Drosophila melanogaster: one gene and its partners. The protein of the gene in region 3 interacts with the protein of the main gene of each other region in a pairwise test. Each region holds a gene or a part of one and is shown on either strand. Other genes may lie near its edges.

Region 1 (5,965 bases), on a different chromosome or scaffold from region 3:
CTAACTAATAGGTTTAATGACCATAGCCCAAGACCCTGAGAATTCGCCTTGCGTAGACGGACCGCAATCGGAGCCGCCGTCTTCTCGACACGAATTCCCTGGGCTTGGGCAGCATACTATACTAGGAGCCCAAGTTGAGCAAATAGATATTTTTACCGACAGATTGCGTTAAGTCGGCTAAGCTAGGACATATTTAGGGGAGCCGAGAGCGAACGCGCATCCCTGGCTGGGTCCCTTCTCCGCAGGATATCACCTGGAGAAACCCAGGTACGAAGAACATCGTGCATTAATAAATAGTGAGTAAGAATCTTTTAAATATGCCCCAGATTGGGAGATGATATACAAAAAAATGTACTTGTATTTATAATAATAAAGATTGTAATATAATCGTCGAAATTGAGCAAGAATTTTTTATTAGTAAATTATGGGTCCCGAGGAGTCTTGGAGGATAACCACACCCATACGAATCCCCCTTCACAATCCAACAAACAATCAAGCCTGCAGTTTCTCAGTTTATCAAGTACTTAATTCATAGTATACACATAAAAAAAAAAGATGGTTATATTCCAGAAGGGCGCTTGTGATACAGTAACGGGGGGTCGTCATGGGTCTCAAATCTGTTCTCAGTGCTCCTCCAGCTCGAGTCCATGCTCCTTCATTTGCTCGTAAATGCATTCCTCGTAGGCGAAGGCAGCGTCGCAACTGAAAATGGCAGCATGATTATAGTCCGGATTTGAGCCAACAGCTTCCGGCGAGCACTACTCACTGATCCTCGGGTGTCTCGATGGCCTCGCACTTGGCCACCACCTCGGCGGGAGCGTCTTCCTTCTCTGCATCGTGCTTGCTCATGACCTTGACCAACTCGATGGCGTGTTCCTTGTTCAGCTTACCGGATTCATCCATCTGCAATGGGAGGGAGAATGGAATGGGTGGTGGTGAGTGGATCACACTTCCTGCCGGAGCAGCAGCACTCACTATCTGCAGCTTTTTCATCACGCAGGCGCGCAGGCACTTGGCCTCGTGTCTCTCGGGCAGGTCGTGGCTCATCAGCTGCTCCACATCCTCTGTAAGCGATATATCATATGATTGATAATTGCACAATAACTATCCTAACACATCCACCACAGGTAGGAGTGGTACGCTGACAGCTGTATTCCCTACTGAATTTTCTGCACTGATGACCATCTGACTCACCATCGGTGGCTCCCGTCTCAGCCTTGCACTCGTTGGCCAGCTCGGCGGCGTGGTCCCTGTTGATCTCCTCGTGCGGCTTGGCGCTGGTGGCGCCCAGGCAGAGGATGCCCACTAGGAGCAGGACGGTCAGGTGAACCAGATGCGACATTTCGATTTGCGATTGAACTGCGCGACGTGCGAACTCTGACTTGGATGCGAATCGCCGGCAACGTCGGCGTTTTATAGGAGCTATTGCCTAAGCCGAGTCCCGTGATTGATTTGGCAGATCGGATCCATCGCCGATCTCCAGCTGCGTCTCAAGCAGCTCCGGCAATTACGCGCAATTATGAACTACATGGGCAGCACATGGCACATGGCACTCCACTTCACTCCGCCGCTCTGGACGGGATGGGACGGAATCCGGCGGAGATGCCCTCGACTGGGCATCGTGTGAACGAGTGACACCCCGCTGGAACTGCCGCTGCCAGATGAGATGGCCCACCGATCTCCACTTACCTGCTTAATTGGTGACTGGCATGAAATCGCTGCAAATGCCGGGGATATAGAATTGGGAATGGCTATGGCTAGTGGAAATGGAAATGAAAATGCAAAATGCTAAATGCAAAATGAGAGATGAGAAATCCCGCTTGTAATTAAATCGATCAACAGCTCTGGGTGAGATGAGTGATTGTGACTGGCGGGGCCATCGAGCGATTATACAATTATATGGAACTGGGCGAACTGGGAACTGCGGTTGCCGCCTGCCAAATTGGCCGTTTAGGCCATAATATACCCTTCATCTGTCCGCCTATTTCCCAGTTTGCCCGTCAGCCTGCCGACTTTCTGATCATTCCGAGTGCCAACGATCGCTATCTGAGTTCCATCCAGTCAGTCTGTTTGTCCATCCATCGAGTGGAGATTTTAGCACGCAATCTATATTATTGTGGAATCCAATAGATGGAATCGGATTGCATCGTGTGAGCATGTTGCATGCTAATTTTTATTCCAATTGGATTGAGTGGGGCTTACTAGCCCCATTAAGATCTTTAACAGGTCGGAAGTCTGTGTGATCGAGTATTATACATATATGTACATGGTAAATCATCCAACAAATAAGTCCGATTGATAATATATGTATATATCTAAATAATTCGGTTGCGAGCAAATGGCTTACTTTCATTTTAATTAACATTGATATTTTCAAATGTATTATTCCAAAAATGAATATACCTTACAAACCTTGGTACTTTGATAGACCTATCAGGTTTCCAGATTGAAGATCTACATTAATCCGATATTGTCATTGTCTCGAGTGAACTGACACATCGCTGGATAGCGTTGGCGATGTCAAATATCGTCTTTGGAGCGTGACTTGTGCGGGTGACGAACTTGGGTGATGAACTTGGCACTGGAGAAATGCTTGCAATCAGCAAAATCAAGCGACGATGCCATGTGCAGACGACTATGGTGTGAGGTCATGGGTCAGCTTATAAGCCAAGGGGCCAAGCAAGAGCAGAGCCAAAGAGAAAGCAGCTGCCAAGATGAAGCCATCCACTCCAGTCGCAGCCATTCCGCTAATGACGATAGTGGTCGCTGTCCTGCTGCAGACGCACTGCGTCCGTGGCCAGACCCAGGCTTTCGATCTCGCCAAGCTGCTGCCCAAGACCGGAACGGAGCCCATCTGGGCGGTAATCGATCGCAACTTGCCGCAGGTGCAGGAGCTGGTCACCGCGGCCAGGATGGAGTGCATCCAGAAGCTGCAGCTGCCCAGGGACCAGCGACCGCTGGGGAAGGTGACCAATCCAAGTGAGAAGGAGAAGTGCCTGGTGGAGTGCGTGCTCAAGAAGATCAAGTTGGTGAGTAGCCGGACGTTTGTCACAACCAGAACTAAAAGGTCACTAATACTTCTCATTCGCACCCAGATGGACGCCGACAACAAGCTGAACGTTGGCCAGGTGGAGAAGCTGACCAGCCTGGTGACCCAGGACAACAAGATGGCCATCGCCGTTAGCTCCAGCATGGCGCAGGCCTGCAGCCGCGGCATCTCCTCGAAGAACCCCTGCGAGGTGGCCCACCTCTTCAACCAGTGCATCAGTCGCCAGCTGGAGCGCAACAACGTAAAGCTGGTCTGGTAGAGGACATCTCCGCGCCATGGACACCACCACCAACTACCACTTGAGATCTTAACTACGAGTAGAAAGAAGGTGTCTCGCATATTTTGGCCATAATCTTAGCTACAATGATTTCTCAGATAATTTTAACCGAAAATGCACAATCTATTAGGCAATATAATTATATATTAAATACTAGTTATACGATTTTCTAGTACTAGATCAAGTTTTAGTTGCTCACTCGCAATTGATTTGAATAAATCTATATATACAGTAATTTATTTCCCATTTTTGCACAATAAAAAACACAATCTTTCGCAGTTCCAACTACGGGATTACGTACTACATATGTGATTCCCACCCGATAAATATGCATAATTCGTAACTTGTTGGTTGGGCGCTTTATTAGTTTGGGAAACCACTCCAAGTTCTCTAGCTTTGGTAATTAAATCGAACTGAATCACTAACAAAAAAAAAAGGGAGGGAGAACATGCAATGGTGGGCCAGCGAGCAGCTCCATGGCCTCATTCCTTGATCTCGGGAATCTTGAAGCCCGAAGAGCGCATCTCGCGCAGCATGCACATAGCGATCCCGTGGGCTGCCTCGCACCTGAAAAAAAACCAAAAACAAATAAGATCCTTTTCAGAAATACTTTAAAAATATTTCAAACAATTTTTAAAGCTTTTGGGAGCACAGTTGCCTGGCCACCTATAAAAGGTATTCCAAAATATTGAAACTCTCTTCCTGAGAAGAAGTGTACGAAAAGGTTCTTCAAAACACACGGCAACTTAAACTCCTGGCACTTATCTTTTCTTTCGAATACAGCAGAATATTTTCGAAATGCAGCAAGACTGAAAAATTCGCCTTAGAACCGTTTCAAGTTTTTGCTTTGAAGTAAATTCACTCCGCATCTGGAATACACTTCGCTGGACTAACAATTACTAGACACTAGGGTCCTCCATTGCCCCACCACACTCACTTGTCCTGCTCGGCCTTTAGCTCCTCGTTGCAGGTCTTGACGATGCGCCTGCCGTCGTCCTCGCGATCCGGGAACATCATGTTGATCATATCGACCGTCTTGTCCTCGTTATACTGCAACTGATCCTCGGGCATCAGCTCGAACTGCTCCAGCATGCAGTGGCGGAAGCACTTGGTCTCGTGCTTGGCGTCCTCCTTGTTCAGCACCATCTCGACGATGTTCTCTGCGGATATGGTATGTTATGGAATGGTATGGTAGGATGGGTGAGTAACCCAACGGTGCACTTACCCCTCGACGGCTTTGGCGTGCAGGCGTCGCCAAAGGGCTCGATCAGCTCCACCACCTCGTCCACGGTCATGGACCCCTCCTCCTCGTCCGCCGTCGCCGATCCCATCAGCACGGCGGCGCAGGCCACTGCTAGCAGAAGGTTCGTCATCTTCAACGTCGTCGTCATTCGGCTGCACTGCATCATTTTTGCTCTTCTTGTGAATAGTGGACGGACAGCAATCGGCGCCGGGCAATTTATACCCGCCGCAATCGTGTCCAGCACATCCGGTACAAGCAAATCGCCTCGGATGTAGATCAACCGGCGATAGCCATGACATTGCTGGGGCGGATCATGCAAGCCCCACCACAACCACAGCCAACCACCCATTCGTCCATCCATCGCAGCCCAGTTAAAATACAGCACAGATGACGGGGCCCTCCGGCTAGCTTTTATTGATCATCTGGTCAGGGGATTGGGCTTGGGTGTGGGTTTAGGATTGCGGACAAGAGATATACATATCTACTTTATTTGCTGCGGAGTCACCTGTTCCGAATGCCAAAGTGTGACGCATCTGGTATCGCATTGGCAGCCTCGGATGGAAAGCCTAGGGAAACACGAATACCTTGATGTTGTTCTTCAGGCAGCTGAGCAGGGCGTGGGCGGGATCGCAGTTGGGGGCGTTCTTCAGGCCGACGGTGGAGTCCTTGCACAGATTGATGCCCTTGCGGTACTCGTCCTTGTAGCTGTCCGGCAGCATGATGTCCATCTGCTTGAGGGTCGACTCCAGCTGGAACTTTCCCTTCTTGATCTAAGCAGGAGCAGAGCGGAAAGAAGGAGCTGATAATGTAACCAACACAGCCGATGGAAACTTCTTAATACGTACTGCCTGCATCATTTCCAGGATGCAATTGATGTAGCAGTTGGTGTCCTTGCTATTGGGTATGTCACCGTTGCGAATGTTGTCGGCCACCTCGACGCTGACCTTCGGATACTTGGGCAGGCAGACGTCGCGCATCAGCTTTCCGGCAGACCACATCTGCTCCTCCGTCACCTGCAAGTGGACAGTATCCATGAGGCATCCTCCGGCAGAGAGAAGAGCTTAAGGACCTACCCCTGCCTCCGACTGGGGGATTGGTCCCAGGGATATGGCGACGCAGACCAGCAGCAGATGGAACTTCATTTCCGAGACGATTTGGCGGATTCCAGACTCCAGACCCATCGGCGACTCCTTTTATACACGGCCCCCGACATGCAAATGACTTCATATTGGTTCGATCGAACCGCTAAGTGGGTGTGGGAATTATGGGTTAGCGCCAATCGCCGCCCCCACTGCCCATTTCCATATCCAAATGGGCGGGCGGTGGGTGGTGTTCCTGGGGCGGATTACTTTCTGGCCGGGCTATAATCTTGCCACGTTAATTGACAGTGTACACA
Region 2 (6,665 bases), on a different chromosome or scaffold from region 3:
AGTTGCATTTTGCGTTTGCAATTTAATCATAATTATACTGCGCATAATGCGAAACACTCACGCATTTGCCAACACTTGAGGCACAAATTTTCATCGCATCCGTTCTGGAAAATCTGCTCGTTTTTCTAGGACTACGAGTATCTGTGTGCGCAGCGGCAAATTGAAAACTCTTAATGTCGTTTGTGATTTGATCAGGGCACCTCGTTAGTTTGGGCCCGCGGCGAAAAGGGAAGGCAGCCAGTTGGCAACTGCTAACTGATAATTTGATTATTATTATTATATATCTATGTAATATGCAGCGGGCTGCTGTGTGCATGTGTGTGCCTTGTGTGCGCTTGTGTGTGCGTGCGGGTGTGGCCAATCATCAGCTCGGATTTCCATTTTTCCCGCTTGTTGCCTTGGGTGCCATAGATATGTGCATGCGAATCCGCATCTATGTATGTACATATATGTGTGTAAGTAGCAATTTCCTCTCACCCCGCATGTGTGTGTGTGTGTGTGTGTGTGCGATATGTGATGTCTTTGTGTGCGCTGCTCTTAGATAGATCGAAAATTGTTGCTAAAGTCACTTGTGCTGTCGTAATTTCATAAATTGCGTAATTGCATTGCCATTGGAGGAAAGGGAAAATGCGATAGGGAGTGAAAGATGGTGCAGTGTTTGATTAAAAATAACTTATTCCCAAATGATGTCTAATTTGCATCGGTTACAAGCGAAAGAAAACTTGCTTGTTTATTGAAGCCAGAAAAGTTCTCATTTCCATGTGATGCGCAATATTTCGTAGCATACTTTCAGGCTCTTAATTGGTGCATTTCCAATGCATTGCAATGCCACGCGCACAAAACGAGCATACTTATTCATTATTTGTCACATCAATTTAATTGATACTGAAAATAATATAGAAAGGGCAAGGTGTACCTTTATTTGGCCCACTCGTATTTCCGAGAATCGAAACCACAATTAGGATCCAGCCAACCGAGCTGAACTGAAGATGGCCTCGCCTTTTGTTAACCGAATGCACACACTCGGTTGCCATATCGAGTGCATATATATTATTTACCAAACATGTACTTGAGTTATCACCGATACCGTATGCAAACGTAAATTTCCTTTGGCTTTTTGACTACGTGGTCATTGGTCTACGTGCCAATCCAATTTCCTCGGCACATTGACTGTGGCTTTTCCTTGGCACGCTTTCAATTCGAATTTGCCGACATCGAAATGCAAAAAAACAAAAAAAAAATCAGAAAAAAATATAGAGGAAAACAATTGGGGTGCCAGCGACTCGGGACCCCTGCACCTGTAACTGGCTTTTCCGTAATGGCAGACAACTTTTCAGAGCAGCGCCAGCAGAGCGAAGCGTTTACATAAGTGGCAAGTACGGAGTCGTAAATCGTGGCAAATCGAGTTCGGTGTTCCTCTGTTTCCCTGGACCACCTGGCCAAGTGAATTGATCAAAAATCACGCGAAGGAAATTGCTTTAAAATGTGCAGCGGCAGCTGAATTCAGCGAAGAGCAGATACTGAAAATGAAGTGGAAAAATCGCAGGGAGCTTGTGAAAAGTGTGTACAATTCGGGGGAAACGGGCCAATGAAATGCCAATTAAATTGATTTGAGACTCAACCAATTTTTTTTTTCTTTTCCATATACTCGTAGGAGGTCATTAATGAGGTCTATAGGAAAATGTATTTTCGTTGATTGATTGACGGATTGATTGGCAATTCATTAGCATAAATTACCCGCAGAAACCGAACTTAAAGTGAAAGTACCACCAGCGAAAGCTTAATGCCCTTCGAATCTAGTTATGCTTCGGGCTTTAAATAATATTTTCATTTCAAGTAAATTCGTTTACAACATCATTGAAAGCTGTCGAAGAACAGCAGCTCCATGCACCACAACTGAGATGACAGTAAGCTCGCGAATATGAGATGAGCCTCCAGACAAAGAGATACAGATAGCAAATAAAGGATATTTAAAGAATGGCGGCAAGGACATCCTGTTGCACTTGGCCCATTTGATTGATGACGTTGGCACTTGAGTGCACACGATAATCATTTATAAGGCGCATAAATGTTCTGTTCCCCGGGGGGGAAAAAGCTGGAAAATCCGAGGGGGGAAATGGGGGTGGTTGTCAGCTGGCGGATAAAAAGCGCCCAAAGTCGAAGGGAATATCAGATTCAAATTCACTTGGCAGATATGCTGAGGTCGTTGCTATTTTTGGGGTATTTCGGGATTCGAAATTAGGGGGGGTGGTCTTGGTCTTGTCACGTCAGCTGCAGAGTCTGACAGCCACTGCACGAAATTTGCATTCAAATCGAGCCGTGTATCTGGGCAACTTAGTATCTGTATCTGACAGATACCCAGCTGGCACACTTCTTTGTCGAGGTTGAGAAATGGCTACGGCCCAACTTGCCGCTTTCTTTCGAACTTCCTTCAAAGTGCCTGAAACTAATTATCTGCCTGCTCGCAAACGTTTACTCCAACTTTCGTTTAATTGGTCATAGTTATCGCCAAGTTTGTCATTATTAAAGATGCTTCTGATGCATCTGAAACTGGATTTTTTCAGCCAGAACACTGCTTAATAGCTCACATGTCGCTTTGCCTTTGGTCCTGCTCCACGTTATCCCGTCGCCAAAGCAAACAAAATCTTGCTGATGCAGCAGCTGGCAATTACAGCGAATGCTTTTCTAATTAGATGCACCCACATTTTCCAATTCCCCCCGGCCCCGCCCCCCTCTCTCTCCGCTGCTCTACAACATGGGTGGAAAAGCGATGGAAATTGCCTGAGTGCGTAAGCGAAAAACCAGCCATGTGCATGAATCGTAGGCGAGATATATCACTAAACAATGCACTCTCAGCAACGTGCCACTGAGTATAAGTTGGATATTTAGTTAAAAACTATTTAGATGCTTTTGCTGTTATTCAGTGGTTTAAAGCGCACATTTATAAAGTCCTCTGTGCACTTATCGAATTCAAAGTCCTAAAGAAATCAAAGAAATGTCCATAGGTAATCATAGCTTTTTGCCATTGAGACTCGCACGCCCTCAAGTGTAAATCCGCTCTCCAGTCAATTTTCTTCGCTTTTCCGCCGCACATTTTCCCCGCTTGTCCAGACGATTCGATGCTTATCGATGAGCGCAAATCTCGTGCCTCCCATATTTATGTATATATATATGTTTATACATATATATGCATGAGCTTTTAGAAATCATGTAGACATTAGTTGCCCTGCAGTCGTCTGACTGTTTGTTACCCTCGAAATGGAAACTGCACTTTATCGCTTAAATTGCTCAAGTGCAGTTCATTTATGATTTTCGTGCTCATTTCCGCTTGTTGTGGCCGATTTCCGTCGCATAGATATCTCACTCAGCATTTTCCGCTCTGCATTAGAATATGTGAATCTGTGAAACTGTGAATGTCTCTGAATCTCAGTCAGTCGAGGCGATTGTGCAAGTGACCTTGGCCAGGAGGCGGGGGCCACCCATGCGGCCATTTCGTAAACGAGCCACCTCTCATGAATATGAGTCAATTAATATAACTCAATTTGATGTCGGGCCAGAGTGTTTCGACTGCTACCCTATACAAGTATCTATGCATTTTCAAGAACTTTAACAATTGAATGTGGAAAATAGTACATGAGTAGCGAGAAATCAAAATTAAATGAATGAAAAAATTGTATCTGTAATATCTTTGTAGCTTTGTATCATAAAATTTTTTTCTTTTGTATGGAGTAGTGTGTTCAAAGTTCGTCAAACTTATCTGGCCACCAAATGGTTTGTGTATATTCACGTATTCCGTATGATATGTGCTGGGCAGCTTGTGTTTTGCAATGTGAATCACGACGAAATTGCATTTGATTTTGGGAGGCTCGCATTTGCATTCGCATTCGGATTTGTGCAGCGATTTATCCGTTAAGTAACTAAATCAATTAGCCTGCTGTGCCGATTAAAATAACGAGAAGCGTTTCGGTCATAGCCGATAACAAATACGATTCGAATGGCACAATCTAATGATGCTGGGCATTAAGATACAGATGGAAATTCGAATGCACAGTGGTCCAAAAAGGGCCCAACCTCAAACTGCATGTCACAAGCAATGCCAGTCATAAAAGCTCGGCACTTCACACGACTAAAAAAGCTTTGCTCACCCAGTAACCGGTCACCTTGCCTTATGAATATACATATATTTAATATATCCCTGGAGGTCAGTGAGTCACACCGTGTTAGATTCACCCCTTGACATCCCCCGAACGAAAATTAGTATAATGTAACGAAGAAGCATTCACAATGAACAGACCCCCAAAACTACAGTTAGTAAGACAAGTTAATATGGTTTATTCATTTATTGGAAATTACAGCTTTCTTAAACTAATAATCCTATTTTTTATAAATACCCAGCTAAAGCTAATCTCCTTAATATTTATAGTTTCATTAGATACCATTTGAGTAGATAACACAATTTGTACACAATATGTACTACATTTCCTGATCGTTTCGTCCCACTGTGCCATGTGTTGCTCGCTCTCTGTCTCTCTCTCTCTCTCTCTCTCTCTCTCTCTCTTTCGCCCGCTGCTTCTCTCGCTCTCGCAATTGTAGTTTTATTCGCCGAGTGTAACGATGGGAGAATTCTGAGTATTTGTGTTGTTTGTATTACTTCAGTGGCATTCTGTGCGTGCTGGCGAGCGCAATATGAATTAGTCAGCGGCGCTTCGCTACATTTGCTACATTGGCTTTAATCGCTCGTTTCTGAGGCATCTATTCGGCTGGACAATCTGGATTAACTGCATCCAAAACGTATATATCTTGTATTGGCCGCGATGTCGTTGACGGGAACCCAGGACTACGATCGCAAATACCTGCTCAGCATGCCGGGCCTGTGCAAGCTGGCCTGTTTGGTAATTAGCCTTACACATATGTGCCATTGTGTATCGCCCTTAATGTGTGCGCTTGTATGTGTGCGTCTTTCAGCTGTGCAGCTTTGTTGGAATATTGTGCATCATCTGCGGACCGGTGCGCGTGAGCAATTTCCGCGGCAGTTTCTACCTGGCCGTAGTCACCATCGGATTCGTGGCCACCGGCTGCCTGCTCCTGGCCAGGTATCTCCGGTTGTGGCAGCGCCAGTTCTGCCGATGCGATCCCACGCTCTGGTCCCTGGCGGTGCACTCCTCATTGGCCCTGGCCTACTTCACGGCCTCCGGACTCGTACTCTCCCTGGATATTGGAGCCTATACGGCGGCGGCGGTAAGTGGCGTTCTCGCAGTTAGGATAAGTTCGGAAACCAAAAGTATTACGGCTCATTGTTTCGGCTAATGATTAAGCTAGGAAAGATACTGGTAAACGAAACACTGAGCCTCCAGTTGGAGCCGATTCATTCCCTCGCTGTGATGAACTCTCTGTAGATCCGTCTAATACACCCTATTCTTCACCTTTTTTTTTACAGTTCTTTGGCCTGACAGCATTTTGCATCAACGGACTGGAGGCCTATGGAAACTATCGGCGCAGTCGCCAGCGGGAGGTGGCCACCCAAACGATATAGACTTGGTTTCAGGTGCACGAACCCAGCTTTTGGTGGCTCTTACTACGTTAGGCTTACTCTGTGTGTGTATCTGTGTGAGAGCGAGTATCTGTGTGCGAACGAGTATCTGTGTGAGTGCCAGTGCGTGCGCGTGTGTGTGAGTTTGTTTTGAGAGAGCGAGTATCGCTTGCGTTTGCTTGAAGCATTTAAGTCTGAAGTTTGAAATTGTGGCAAGCTTTTGTCGCGGGAACAGTTACCGTATGTGTTATCTAATAGTCGCTAGATATAGGTCAAGAAGTGAAGAAGATAAAGCCAGTCGATCGCAGCAATAACGTAGATATAATAGCGAACAGAAAGCGAGAGAAAACCACTAACAAGAGAGCAAATTCCAAAGAGATAAGTTGTATTGTGCCTTCTGGCTCTGCTTCTTCCCTTCTTCTGATAACTGGTTAACAATGCGTGAATATATATGTACATATATATACCCGATTTTTTTTTTACTTTTATTAAGTACATAGTATTTGTGTGTCTCAAGTGAATATACATTGAAGTAGTTAGTTTTTAGCACAATGCTTTTCATGACCACTGAATTGTTGTATTTATAAACAAATAAATCGTTTGCAATGGAAGAATAAAACAAAAATACATAAATGTAATTTGTAAATGAAGGGTGTTTTTTAATGATGAGAGTTCATATGCGTAAATTGGGCTTGAATGTCAATTGTTGATCGTGCATATTGTTATTGATTCATTTACGCAAAAGGCCACTTTCCCGAGGCTATTGTTTATTTATTTTACTACACGAACTACTTTTGCGACCATGTTTGCTTGCACAACAAGCTATTTTCACCTAACATTGCCGGATAGAATTTTTGCAACCGGCGCTCCATGAAAAAGATATCGCCAACCTTTGTTTACCTTATCCGCATTGAAACTGAAAATAAACAGGTACACTATGGTGCCCCCCTGTCTGATTTTGCTTCTTGTTTCGTTTTCGTTTTGGTTTCGGTGCTCTGTAAGCTGTTGCCATTGTTGGCTTTTCAAATCTTTTGAACCACCCACAAACGCAACAACCATCATCACCCAACAAGCAGCACCCAACGCCCACAAAAAAGCACTTGGCTCGTCTATTGTTTGTGTTGTTTTTGGGGGC
Region 3 (7,226 bases):
AACAAGAGAGGTATAGTTTTTAGTTATTTAACACTCATTATTAAATAAACATAAACTAAAAAGCTCTTGCATATATTTAGGCTGACCAATTATTTCGATTTAGCGACTGAATTTGGCCGTTTTACACACAAGAACTGCATCACTGCCCACGCTGTTATCGATAAGCCGTCTGCTCAGGCAACTTCTGGTATTTCCAGAAGATTCGGACTGGTCACTCTGTCGGAGATTTCTTGTTTAAACAATTTCTGCTGGTTTTCATTAAACAACGAAAGGTCTTTGGGACTGGATCATCAAGAGCGACTTGTTAAATACAATCGGTTGACTTGCACATTAGTGTTGTTTCAGCCAATTAAAAAGAGTGCAACAACAGTGATAAATCAGTGAATTTACTGCATTCCTTGCGACGCAATTCCGAGTGGTAAGCAATATATGTAGTCTTTTTAGTTATTTTCGAGTTGAGAACGCAAATATACCTGCCCTGCATTAATGCCGATTAATTGCTTCGTATTGACTTGTTGAATCTAATTGCGTCATGTCTGTGTGGCGACTTATTTACACTTTAATTGCACTCCACAATAATCAACAGTCGGCATCTTCGTCTATGCCCGTTTTTATTGCCCCTTTTGCTTTGCGCTTTAGATTCTGTTGCGCTTCTTTGTTTAGATTTTGTCCAATTCCCCTTTGTGCTGACCCATTTTTCTAGTCTTTGTGGTTTTTAACTCACCTGATAGCCAGATGAATCACCTTGGCGTTTTTGAAACCCGTTTTCGCCCTCGAACTAGGCACAAATCGCAGAGGGCACAATTGGTAAATAACAACTTTTATCAAATGCCTCTCACGTTTCTCAAAATGGGCGCAAAAACAGCAAGACAATGATAGAAAAACAATAAGTGAAGCAAATCGCGCAAAAATGGCAGACTTTGAAAGCAATACGAAGCTGCGAGGCAAAGTGGAATGGCCGATAAGATAACGCATCGCCATCGAAAAAATAAAAAAAAACAAATATTAAACTATATTGTTTATCACAAAGCAAATGTCAATATATTTACAAACGCCCCGCAAATCAGTCAAGTTTTATAGAAATAATTTTTATGTCTCTATAAAGAGAATATTTTACGCTAAAATCGAGAGAAGCTTCTTTAAAGGATCAAATTTCTCAAATTTGAACCGTTATTTATTCTTTCATTTTCACTCTTTTCTATGCTTACAATGATATATTTAAAAACTAGTTTTTCAAAACCATGTCTGTTACGAATTTAATAAAGAATTAAAATAATATATTTACAAAGCTTCTATTGCTAGATCTCAGATTGCTTATAGTTTTATACATTAAGTTAGCCTCAAATAAATAAATAATATTAATAACCTTTTTTTTATTATAAATTTGCAATAAATTGCAATTTGGTGCAATAAATTCCATATTTTACCCAATAAATATTAAATATTTTGCAGTGATTTTGATCGTTAGAAATTTATTAAAATATTGCTTAGGCTCATGACAAAGTTGCTAAGATAAAACTAATACTTTAATAGCACAAATTATGCTAATTAACCACAATTTAATAGTATGAATCATGAACAAGTGCAAGAAACTGACTTTATTCACAACTTTCCTTTATCGCTCGAGCAGCTTAGAATATGTATTTTACTTTAATTCGAAGTTAGTGAGCCAGCCCTGATATTTTGCAATCTGGTTTAGTGGCTTCACGTGACCGACACTCCGATTGTTAGTTTGCTTACTAATTGTGTGATTTCTTGCAGATTCCAGAACAAATCACAATGCGCACAGCTGTTTTGCTGCCACTTTTGGCCCTGCTGGCGGTGGCTCAGGCCGTTTCCTTCGCCGACGTGGTCATGGAGGAATGGCATACGTTCAAGGTGAGTTTCAACCGGATCATCTAGGGATCATATTTAATTCGCCAGGCCGAAGAGGCAGATAACAAGTGTTCTCCGGTAACAAGGGCTTGATGTGTAATGATGATTAATCCATTAATTTTTTTTTTGGGCCTTTGTCTTCTGTCCGACTTTGTTTGCATAGTTGGACGCGCGGCATTCTTCCGTTTGTGACGATTCCGCACTTCTGACTTCTGAGTCAGCAGCCATTGCGAGTGTGAATGCACTGCTGCGCGGCTGCCTCAAAGAGACGGAAGGAGGATTCAGATAAGTCCAAAAGTCTAGGCTGTCGTCCAGTCACATGCCGGCTCACATGACCGCAAGCGGCAAGCTGGGCTGCTTTGCTTAGCCCATCCGTAAACATCGGCTGGATGGGCAGATAATCCAAGTCGTTGTGTCGCCCACTTTCGCTACGCTCGCGGTTCATTTCCCGCCGATAAGCCGTGCAAGACTCAAACTGGTCCACTGCCGGCCGACTGATAAGGCGCGGGTCGCATATTTGCCATCACACTTTTCGCAAGCCATGTTTCCTAATGCGACTTCGATTTTTGCCCCCTTCTATTGCATATATATGTGTGTCCATGGTTCCATTGATGATTGGGCCAATCATCCTTTGTCTCGCAGCCTTCACTTGCAACTTCGTCTGCTTATCAATGGTGGATTGTCTATTGATTAATTGAATGCGCCCCTAGTGTCGTCTAATTCTTATCGCCAACAGTCAGGGGTCGTGATTTTTTCCATTATTTTACTGAATAGTTCCGTGCCAAGCGTCATTAGCCCCAAATGGGGGCGTACAAATAATAATTAGCTGTTTGTGCAGAGATCTCATGTGATAAGGGGGATATATGTACATCTCTATATATGCATATTGGTTTAATAACTTTGGATATTTTGCCTTTGATGGTTTTATATTCACTTTTCGAATTCAAATTCAAATGCACCCGCATATGCAATATATGCATATAACTTTATTTCCCTTCCTTTTTTTATCTGCTGTTAAATATCATATTCAATTGAGTGACTCATTTGTTAGAGTAAGCACAGAGTGGTGTATTAAATTATTGTTTATAAATAACAAAGTCTGATCAACTGAAAGAATAGGAATCATATTTATGGAAAGAGTTACTCATCCTTAATTAAAAATAAAAAGAAAATCAACTAAACATTTGCAATTTCCCCACTCATATATTATTTACCTAACTAAATTTTCTTTGATCATCTAATTTAGTTTAGATTTAGTTTTCTTTTTTTTTTCAAAATAAACTCACAATTACTTTACATTTGCCATTTTACATTTCGAGACCGTTAGGTGTCATGTAGAATACTGCAAACGCTCGGTCACACTGCTGCAAACAGTGCTACCCATGCTTGCTTGGGGAATGAAAGGCGCGCAATTTAAATGTGATAACGATGCCAACCATTAGCTCTCACTGCTTATAGTTAGTTAATAAAAACGACATTATCTGTAATGTGTGTGCAGTCCAAAGTGCCACAGTTGTCGGTTGCAAATGCACAGCTGCAAAAGTCAGCGTTGAGCAACTGTGGCACTGATAAGCTCTAAAATTCCAGATTAATGCGTTTTAATTTAAGCAGCTATTCGCATAGTTCGGCAAATATTCAACAACAATATTTAAGAACAAGTCGTGCGGGGGGCCGCGAGCATTTTGGAAATGACGCGCTACAAATCGGCGTTGCTTATCAAATTGCCATTTTTCGCTGGCATTTCCGAGAGCCGAAAGAGATTTCTAGCATTAATTCCCCGAGTGACAAGTGCACAAACAAATCGGCTGCCGTAAATAAACAAGCTGGGAAAAATTTCGCTGACTTGCAAAAGCAGCATGCGGCTCTTTTCTTACATTTTTTATTAAAGATACATAAGTTTCTGTTTTTTTTTTCGTTTTTTTTTAAATCTGTTACTTCTGCTAACCGGTTGGAGCAAACATATTTGAATAGCTCGCCTGAAATCCTTATAAATCAAAATGAAACCGGTTCGCCTTTTTGAGCAAACCCACAATGCGCGCGCTGCAAAACAGAAGGAAATATACGAAAAAGCATAAGAAACAAGAAATATATAGAGTACGCCCGCCTGCCATCCTCCAAATTGGTTGGCCTACGTAGATTGGGCTCTCATTTCGATTTCGGCGATACGAAGAAAGAGTGTAGAGTGTGTTGTGTGCGTGTGTGAACTCGGCTCTTTTTCGCCCCGCCGTCATGCGATTGAGTTTGCGTTTGCGAGCGGACCACCACCATCACCACCACCACCACCAAAAGCGAAGCAGCCAGCTCTGTCGTATTTTTGTTATTCCCGAACCGACGCTCCACGCCAACGGAACGCTCGAGCAGCCAGCGGCAGGCAGTAGCAGCAGCAGTGCAGAGCGCAATATATAGAACATTTGAGAGAAAAGAAATAAAAGGAGCCAAGTCAGACGGGGCCCCCAGCGGTGGTAGTAGAAGTACGGAAAAGCACGCGCGTCATCGTAAAAAACGTGCTACGAAATCGCAGGGAGACGGGCGGTAATAGCAAATAAATTACATAAAAACCACGGAGGAGCAATCACAGCATAAGAATGACCGATACCAGTGCAAATAATTTGGATGTATCGGTGGATGTGGTCTGGCCGACGATAATTGTCCTGGCCATGCTGGTCATAAATGGCTTCGTTTTCGCCTACATTATGCGCAAGCGGCGGGAATACAAATGCCAGGAGGAGGAGCTGCAGCAACAACAACAACCTGTTCCACATTCCTCCTATGCGGCCACTTCGACAACGGAACGGCATGCGGATGCGGATCAGGAGGACGATAGCTGTGCCATCGAGATGGAGCGACTGTAGGGATGGAGATCGCACTAGCTAAGCTCTCTGATACTCAACTACTATCGTCCAAGCTTCTCAACTGCAACGAAGTTTCCTAAGCCACATATGTAGTATATCTAGATTGATAGATACAAAACGTATACGTCGAGTGCCTGGATATCACATCGGATCGCACGTGCATTTAATTACGGTGTTTTTAAGTTGTTAACTCTATCTGCATATATCGCAAATTCAAATTTTCTACAAAAGTATACAATAAATGTGTGAATTTTATCATGCGGCAACGAGAACCAACGACGTTTGCAAGGAAAATCAATAGGTCAGTGTGCCGGGAGGCGCCTCTTTTCTGCCGTTACCACCTCCTCCCTCGAAATCACAACGGGCGGGGTTTCATTTTGCTGCAAGACTCGAATTCGATTCAATTATGTCAATTATAGGAGTCAACCACGGACCAGTGGACCCCATCCGGTCCATTTGGGGCGACAATTGCTGATGCTGGTCCGCTTTGATGTCCAAAAGTAATTACACATGCATGTTTCTCACATGACAGCGCCACTCGACTGTTCAGTTCAATGTGCCAAGTACCCTGGAATATTGCAAAATCTACTAAGACTTGTGGTGAGCCACTTAAAAAGCGATTAGGTTTGGGTTTATACCCATATTTCACTGAGAAAACATGCCACTTTGAGTGCGTTGAAGAGTCGCAAAAAAATAACCAGTTTAGCAATAAACACTTTTGGAAAATGCATTTCAGTTTAGCATGTTTGCTATTTGGATATTCGTGAGCAGTAATAATGAGTTTTGTTGAATAATTCTATATACTTAACTTAACTTTCATAAACTTTTCGATTCTATGCAAAGCCGCTAATTTGGTATTCAGACAAGAGGAAGTCAATTTTTATTCACAAATTTCACTTTGAATCGAAAACTACCCCCATATAGTGGCATTTGCCGAATCTAATGGATAGCAACCTAGTCGACTTCTTGCCCTGGCCTTTCAATTCCCTTTATAGCTATCATTTGTTTAGCGTTCGTGCTATTTTCGTGCTGTGGCTGTGTCAATATGCGGGTCGGACTAACAAACAACCCCGAGCTGGGAGAGGAGGTCTCTTATCCACGGGACCACTGCAGGCAGATGGAGCGCATTTCCTCGTGCTGGCCTCGCTTCTCCTATTCCTACCTGCAGTTTGGCTCGTTTGTTTACTACCTGGAACATTAACACCCGTTTCAAGTTCCTGTCGTTGGGCAATCGTTAAACACAATTTTATGACCATGTTTTATAGATTTATAGAGCTTGCTACTGTGGCCGTTCCTCTAGAGCGTTTCGCTCGTGCCAGGTTGACGGCGCTGTGATAAGGTGTAATCTGCAGATTAAGAACTTTTGCCTCAGCGATCGTAAATCCATTTTACGTAAAACATTTTATTTGATTTTTAATAGAGTTCCCAAAAATGCGTCTAAAAAGTTAACTTTTCATTTGGTTGGCTTTATCTTATCTTGAAACAAGTACACGAAAGTCAATCGATAGTAGCACTTACCTTTGATAAGAGTGCATTATCTAACTAATACTAATACTTTTCATTATGCAGCTGGAGCACCGCAAGAACTATCAGGATGAAACCGAGGAGCGTTTCCGCCTCAAGATCTTCAATGAGAACAAGCACAAGATTGCCAAGCACAACCAGCGATTCGCCGAGGGCAAGGTGAGCTTCAAACTGGCGGTCAATAAGTACGCCGATTTGCTGCACCACGAATTCCGTCAGCTGATGAACGGCTTCAACTACACTCTGCACAAGCAACTGCGGTAAGTTGGGATCGTTAAGGATTATAATGTGCACATATTCAACTTTGCATTCGCTTTCAGTGCCGCCGATGAAAGCTTCAAGGGAGTCACCTTCATCTCGCCGGCTCATGTGACGCTGCCCAAATCTGTGGACTGGCGCACCAAGGGAGCTGTGACCGCCGTCAAGGATCAGGGACACTGCGGCAGCTGCTGGGCCTTCTCCAGCACAGGCGCCCTCGAGGGTCAGCATTTCCGCAAGTCCGGTGTCCTCGTCTCGCTGTCCGAGCAGAATCTGGTCGATTGCTCCACCAAGTACGGCAACAATGGATGCAACGGCGGTCTCATGGACAATGCCTTCCGCTATATTAAGGATAATGGAGGCATCGATACCGAGAAGTCCTATCCCTACGAGGCCATCGATGACTCGTGCCACTTTAACAAGGGCACAGTCGGAGCCACCGATCGTGGATTCACCGATATTCCCCAGGGTGATGAGAAGAAGATGGCCGAGGCTGTGGCCACCGTTGGTCCCGTTTCCGTCGCCATCGATGCCTCCCACGAGTCGTTCCAGTTCTACTCGGAGGGCGTCTACAACGAGCCGCAGTGTGATGCCCAGAATCTGGATCACGGTGTGCTGGTCGTTGGCTTCGGCACCGACGAGTCCGGCGAGGATTACTGGCTGGTGAAGAACTCGTGGGGCACCACCTGGGGCGACAAGGGCTTCATCAAGATGCTG

Evidence for each region. The genes of interacting proteins can lie anywhere in the genome.
Region 1: the proteins of CG42806 (region 3) and Obp19d interact in a two-hybrid assay, tested with the Drosophila melanogaster proteins (one large-scale study listed by BioGRID).
Region 2: the proteins of CG42806 (region 3) and CG12730 interact in a two-hybrid assay, tested with the Drosophila melanogaster proteins (one large-scale study listed by BioGRID).

What each region holds. Positions count from the first base shown.
Region 1 is NC_004354.4:20,415,515-20,421,479, reverse strand, and holds Obp19d (Odorant-binding protein 19d), read right to left. Parts: upstream 1,868-5,965; 5' UTR 1,343-1,867; coding exon 1,195-1,342; intron 1,065-1,194; coding exon 976-1,064; intron 904-975; coding exon 767-903; intron 703-766; coding exon 624-702; 3' UTR 501-623; downstream 1-500. Other genes in the region: Obp19c (Odorant-binding protein 19c), read left to right, coding at 2,715-3,029, 3,096-3,308; Obp19b (Odorant-binding protein 19b), read right to left, coding at 3,809-3,893, 4,264-4,486, 4,552-4,735; Obp19a (Odorant-binding protein 19a), read right to left, coding at 5,136-5,339, 5,415-5,582, 5,643-5,711.
Region 2 is NC_004354.4:5,512,607-5,519,271, forward strand, and holds CG12730 (uncharacterized protein), read left to right. Parts: upstream 1-4,001; 5' UTR 4,002-4,814; coding exon 4,815-4,892; exon of another isoform or gene 4,893-4,894; intron 4,895-4,965; coding exon 4,966-5,238; intron 5,239-5,437; coding exon 5,438-5,533; 3' UTR 5,534-6,165; downstream 6,166-6,665.
Region 3 is NT_033778.4:13,960,459-13,967,684, forward strand, and holds CG42806 (uncharacterized protein), read left to right. Parts: upstream 1-4,194; 5' UTR 4,195-4,460; coding exon 4,461-4,727; 3' UTR 4,728-4,997; downstream 4,998-7,226. Other genes in the region: CtsL1 (cathepsin L1), read left to right, coding at 736-807, 1,762-1,878, 6,297-6,511, 6,572-7,226.